2 linked regions of the Saccharomyces cerevisiae S288C genome follow. The gene in region 2 interacts genetically with the main gene of each other region. Each region holds a gene or a part of one and is shown on either strand. Other genes may lie near its edges.

Region 1 (3,080 bases), on a different chromosome or scaffold from region 2:
ATTCTTGTTATTTTGTCATTGGAAAGTATAAGCTGGTTGTGGATTACTCTTCACACGATGTGCCTGTTTTTTGTAGGCGGGCTTGTACTTTCTGGGGAGCATGCTGTGTATGTTGTAGGTCTGTGGCAATGTTTGTCGGGAGTGTTCGCTGTTACCATGAGTTGTCTGTGAGTAGTAGCGATTGTAATTGTGGTTGTATCCTACTGGTCTTCTTCGGGAATACCAAGGAATGAAAGAGTTATGAGGAACCTCACTTTGATCCTGGTAATTATTTGGTTGTTGTAGTTGATATTGGCGGGGCTCTGTGAGACAATGATTTTTTTTTGAATATATTTTAAAGCAATCGGCTGATTGGGTAGCCTCAACGCCAAATAACCAAGGAGGGTCGTAGTTATCTTGTGAATGGCTTGAGATTCCCTCATAATATAAAATATTTGCCTTTTTTTTTTCAGTAGGCATTTCCACATTTTCTTGCTTTGCAGGTAAGTCGGTTATATTGATTTCATCCAAAGATAAGGATTTTTGATTTTCAACATGCCTTCTAGAAAATATTTGTTTACCATTCAACTTTGGAGCGAAGAAACTCACCAAACCTGCTTGCTTCAATGGAGATTTGATTTCAGGCGGTGGTTCATCTTGATTTGTTACCGCCAGTTTATCTTGATTGGGATCTAAGGTCCTTGGTAGATCATTAAAAAGACTTGTGATGTCATACACAGATTGGTCTGTGCCCTTAGTTGTTTGTGGATAATTTTCGCCAAGGGAACTTGATGTTTGACTCGTTCCATATAGTTTGAGAATACTGTCTACGTTCTCTATACTAGCTTCTTTAGCTATGTTTTCTGTCTGACTGCGCAGACGTATCAAACCTAAAACTGAGAAAATGCACGCCAATAACGAGCAGAGGGAACAGGGAACAGTTAGCCAGCCACACCAAGTCGTATAAGGATGAAATTGTAACAGGATCACGGTGCATGCAAAGTAACAGGATCACGGTGCATGCAAAAATAGTTGATAAAAGTGTCAATATGTGTAATATAGCGTTGGAAGTAATAAGTGAGACATTAGTTCCTCCAGTCTGAAAAAGAAAAATAATAACCAAGGGAAGTGCAAAAGAAATGAAAGTCAAACATGTAGCAACCGGTATCGAAATCAAAAGTCCTCCTATTGTATGTCTTGCCTTAGGACTCAGCCACCAACGTTCAAGAGAAGGGCCAGGTAATATTTCTTTCGAGGTGTTATATATTAAACGTACTCGAGAGCAGGAAAAAGAATTCAAAGTTTTACAGTAACCAAAGGTACCATATGAAACTCCAGCAGCTTGAGCCAGCCCCCAGTTTCTAATTATTGGTGAAGTTAAACAACATATCATAAAGCCAGAAAAAGAGATTAATTGTAGGAAAGAGGAAAACAATAAAATCAATTTATAATTTAGCATCAATTATTGAATATGGTACCAAAAAAAAAAAATTAGCAAAAAAAGGCAATTTTCTCACCTTCTTGTAATTATTACGCGTAAGGACAGATCATAAAAGTGTATTTCATCCTCAATCATCAATTAAATAATTTATTTATTAACATTCATATATATTTATATTTTCGTTTGCAATTTCGCAATTTTAATATGTCACAAAAAAAGCGCCCACAGAATTATCAAGAAGACCAACCAAATCAATAATAAAATTCGGCAAATAACATTATTAGATTTTTCATGAGATTTAAGAAATACTTGTTCTGTTGTTTAACTGATGGTTTATTACTTATATTTAAATATTGAAAGCTGCAAGATTTAAAAAAATATCTCCCGGGGGCGAGTCGAACGCCCGATCTCAAGATTTCGTAGTGGTAAATTACAGTCTTGCGCCTTAAACCAACTTGGCTACCGAGAGTCGTTTTTGTTGTAAAAAACTACGAATATTCGTGGTATGTCGCATATATATATATTTCTTCTTCCAATGAGACGCAGAGGAAAAAACAAGTGAGGAGGAACATTTCAAAGAGATTGCTAATCAAAAAAAAATTCAAGAACAAAAACAAGGTGGTATATCGACTAATACAGAGTCAATCATGGGTTCAAACACTTCCAAAGTGGGTGCTGGTGCAGAAAAACAACAAGTCTATACTCCGCTAACACAGATCGATTTTTCACAGTCTTTGGTTTCTCAATTGGATTCATCGAAGGAATCAGACTATGTCACCAAGCAAAATGCAGAAAAGTTCATTGAGAAGAAGGTTTCACAAAGGCTATCTAACCTAGAAGTTGAAACGTTAAAGAAGTTTGAAGATACTTTGAACAATTCACTATTATCAGACGACGACAAGGATGCCGTTGATGGAATATCATCAAGTTCATTGAATAATCAAATCGAGTCGTTGAACAAGAAACTAACATTATTTGATCAATTAGAGTTACAAAAGTTGGAGAAATATGGGGGTGCCAAAGGTAAATCTGATAAAAAAACCGACAACGGCAGCATTTCTATAAAGGCAAAATTGACTGAGTGTCTTTTGGCCAATAAGGGCAAGCCATTGAATTGTTACGAAGAGATGGAAGAATTCAAGAAGCTCGTTATGGGTTGAATAAGAAAAAGTATACATAAACTCGACCAAAAAGAATTCGCCATTTCATGTATATAAAATGCATTTTTATCGATTGGCGGATGAACGTAAAAGGGAGAGAAATATTTTTATGTGTATGTAAAAAAATGTATATGTATATTCCGAAAAAACTATTAATTTTGAAAAAATGAAAAATGGACTTACAGACCAAATCCTTTATACATTAAGATCAGTGCACTATCACTTTCGCCCCCACCGGCTAAAGATTCAATTTTTTCCTTTTCAACAACGCTAACTTTATCATCATTAAATTTGTACCATTTATTTTCGTCCAGTTCGTCCCTTATGAAAGCTTGATAGTGTCCAGACTCAGAATTGGCACCTTGATGTGTAATGACACCGATCAAGTTATAAACACAAGATGGGTTTTCACCTTTTTCCAAGTTTGGAGGAAAATGTTTCTTATACTCTTCGAGCCATTGATCTTTTTCACTTTCGTTAAGAGCCACTTGTGTCTCATA
Region 2 (3,935 bases):
CACCAAAGTCCTCTTTTTCCATTTCGTCGTCATAAGAGCCCAATGCATTGGCATGATCTTCGACTTCTTGTAGGGATAACTTGGGCAAATGGTTAGCAACTCTCCATGGTTGAGTGCCATCCTCGTATGCTTTAGCAAAGATGATGTCGATTTCCTCCAAACTTCTTCCGGCGGTTTCAGGGTAGAAAAAGAAGATAACTGGAATGTATAAATAATTCATAACAGCAAAAAATAAGTAGCAACCCCAACCGGACTGTCCAATAAATATTGGGGTGAACATGACAACCGCAAAGTTACACAACCAATTAGTACATGTGGAGAAAGCGTTTGTTGATGCACGAACTTTCATTGATGCAATTTCTGGTGGGTATATCCATGGTAATGATAGCAAAGACAAACCAAAGAATGTAATGAACAAAAATAAGCCGACGGCAGCACCTCTTGCGTTTTCTTTATTTTCTTTGACCAAGCATGCAAATGTAATTGTGAATGAAACTGCTTGACCTGTGGCACCTAATAAAAACAGCTTACGTCTACCTAGCTTTTCAATTAGAAAAAATGAACCAATAGTAGATAAGGCGTAGATTGTTGCGAAGACCCCACCTATGATCATTGATAATCTATAGTCTAATTTAATTGTTTTGTTGAATAATACAGTAGAGTAGTATATGGCAGCGTTACAACCAGTAAATTGCTGGAAAAATTGCGTTGAAGCTGCAATCAAAGCCCTCTGAAGATTTTGGGACCTGCCTCTGGAGAACAAACTTGACAGTGAATGTTTCTCGTGTTTGGTCCTGTTAACAGCATCGTGAAGCATAGCAACTTCTGTTATAACTTCCTCATCATTTGGATCCGCGTCGTCTAGTGTTCCTACCAAGTAGCGAGCTTCTTCTGTTCGACTTTGAGAAATCAGCCAACGTGGCGATTCAGGTAGTTTAATCATGAAAGCAAGCAGGAAGAGAGCAAAAACGATTTGCATTGACACGGGGAATCTCCACTGAACAGAACTGTTGGTATAAGACAACCCAAAATCAATCCAATAAGCAATCATAGTACCAAAAGCAATTGTGGAACCTTCTAAATTGACCAGCAACCCTCTATTTTCAGCTTTTGACATTTCTGATTGCCAAACGGGAATAGTAGATGTATTCAACCCTGTTCCAACACCGGTGACGACTCTTCCGATGATAAACTGGCCTAATGCCCAGTAACCACGAAATGCGCATGTAGAAATAACGGCACCAATGATGGTTATTACGGAACCCATCAGGATTAATGGTTTTCTACCAATTCTTTCACCGCAGAACATAACGAATAGAGAACCTGCGAAACAACCTAATTCATAACAGGAGGTTGTAGCGCCCTGCACTACAGTTGCGTGTCTGTCATGATCGCCATTTTCTTTGGTTGCTGGAAATTCATAGTTGAACTGTTTACCAGTAATTAGACTTGCCATCAACCCTTGGTCGTATCCAAACAGGGAGAAGCCCGTCATAGATGCGATAGTGATGAAATACCGCAACTTCTTACCCGTAAGTCCCCAGTGACTGGTTCTGCTTATAAATTTGCCTTTGAAATTCGATAATTTTAAATCCTTCATGGTCTAAAACTTTCTATGTTCTATTTTTCTATTTTTTATTTATTCTAACTTGTATGCTAGAACACGTATACAAAATAATTATTCAAAATCAATAAAGGGCTTGTTTATATACTATGAGTGTGACTACTCCTGAACTGCAATTCTGACCCTCTAAGGCCAAGCAGCGTTGAAGGGGACAAAATTGAAGCTAAAACATCTCACTTAAGCTTTCTCAATTTCTCTATCTACTTCCTTTTTGTTACGAATGCCCCAATGAAAGCCCTATCAAAGGTGAACCAAAAGTGTTTCCCTTACCGGGATCTGCACTTTCTCAGATTACTACTATCGCGAAGCAGCCAAGCGCAATAGCTGCACCTGGCGAGGATTAACCAACCAAAAACGGTATATAGCCGAGAAACAGTGTACAACCATTATTTCTTTCTGACGTAGTGGATGGCTGGACACTTTCCGCTTATTTTAGTTTCATGCAACGAACAGAGCCGCTCGAACAGGCGACGTAGCGCCGAATACCCCGCGAAACGGAGATGCTACTCAAATGCAGGTAGCGGAGGCATCGCCGTGGGGTATGCGGTGGCCGAAAAAGGACAAAGTCGGACCCTTCATATCAGTTAAAATGACGCAAGTTGAGTCAAAGTGAGCCAAATGGGCCAAATGCGGTGGAATAGTGGGACAACGGCACTTATTTCGTCCGTACGTCCGTTATGGATGTGTATACTATTTCATGATTGGCTTACCTCAAAGAAAATGAAACGGATGGTGCCTCCTAGCCTTGGCAATGAGTATCAGTAGTGGTGTTCTGCAGCCCTTTAATTCTATCTTGGCCGCATTCCAGACATATCCCTTATAGTTATGACGTATATGATTGTGGGGCATTGTTTGCCAAGGAAAATGGAGTAAGTTGAATGAAGAATATGGATTAGTGGTTCTAGGTCGCTCGTAATATCAGACTGAAAGACATTATCTTTGCAAAGGTTGTAAAAGGAGTATTTCAGAATCATTGCTGATTCACACGCGAGACCACATTAGTAAATTTTCTACTCTCGGGCTGAATTCCTCGGCGAAGCTTTGCCTTGCCATTTTAGGTGAGAATACGTATTTGCGGTATCATATTGTTTTTCTTCTCTTCCTTAACTCATTTAGAAAGTTCGATAGTGAACAAAGCGCTACACAAATATTTGATCATGGCAAAGTTACCGCGCCAATCGCCCTGCGCATTGTAGTCGCCTGCTCCTTCAGTTCGTCCGCTGGTTGCGGAATATTTGAATGTCAGTTTTCAACATTGAAACATCAGATAATGTTGGTATCGTGTTTAAATGATGGACGCATCTACGTCACCTTAAGTGCGTTTTTGCCTGTGAGATTTTTATTTCATTGTGTCCACTTGCTATTGTCTGGTTGATATTCCGATGTTTGTCGAGTTTTTTTATTTGCTCTCTGCTTTCATTTTTCTGCACTTCTGGCACATGGTCTAGCCTTTCTTAGTCCAGAAGCAACTGTCACCATTGAATAACGTTGCACTTCAACCTGTCCGTTTATCCAACTGTTTATATCGGTAGAAATAAGGGTATAAGAATAAATTGGCTGGTCAATTGATCGATGAAATTATCGAGCTTTTTTTTTTACTGCATGATCCCTGTCTTCTGAGGCTGTGTAACTTTTTTACTGCCTAAGAACTCTCGGACCCTTCTTTGGTGTTGCCTCAGAAATAGTATGGTGTATTAGCACCATAATAAAAATTTTTACAAAAGCCACTATTATCCTCACTCACCGATGAATGAACATATATGACCTCCAAGATATTCGATCTTACTGAATGGGGTAGACTTTATAAGCGGTTGCCGATTAGCTTAGAAGAACAATTCCTTTTTCTTTCCATTTGGTATTGTACTTTTCTAATGAACTTGGTTAGTTCTGCTTTATCTTTTACACCTGGAAACACAGGCCATAGCACATGTCATGATTTCCGATTTTATTTCTTTTGATTCTTTCGTAATCTGCAATTTCATTGATCCATAGCAAAGGAAACTCTAACGCAATAAGAAGAAAATTATGTTTGTACAATAGAGTTAAATACGCTGCTATTTTCGTCAGAATAAGGTTAATGATTATTAACTCTTAAAAAGTCGATTTTTGATGCATCAAGAAGGTAAATTACCCACAAATTTTTAGCCGACTGTGTATTTTCATATCGCTTCGTGCTATTTTATCTTATCGATTATTTGGTAGTCAATGAAGAAAGATTATTTGGTAGCCAATGGAGAAAGATTATTTGGTAGCCAATGGAGAAAAATTATTTGGTAGTCAATGGAGAAACATTATTTTAATCCTTATATTT

The links.
Region 1: mutations in STL1 (region 2) and MIC19 together harm fitness more than expected from each alone (negative genetic interaction), as found in Saccharomyces cerevisiae (2 studies listed by BioGRID).

What each region holds. Positions count from the first base shown.
Region 1 is NC_001138.5:166,246-169,325, reverse strand, and holds MIC19 (Mic19p), read left to right. Parts: upstream 1-2,067; coding exon 2,068-2,580; downstream 2,581-3,080. Other genes in the region: YFR012W-A (uncharacterized protein), read right to left, coding at 16-102; DCV1 (Dcv1p), read right to left, coding at 830-1,438; ubiquitin-specific protease UBP6, read right to left, coding at 2,760-3,080.
Region 2 is NC_001136.10:1,505,670-1,509,604, reverse strand, and holds the start of STL1 (glucose-inactivated glycerol proton symporter STL1), read right to left. Parts: upstream 1,601-3,935; coding exon 1-1,600.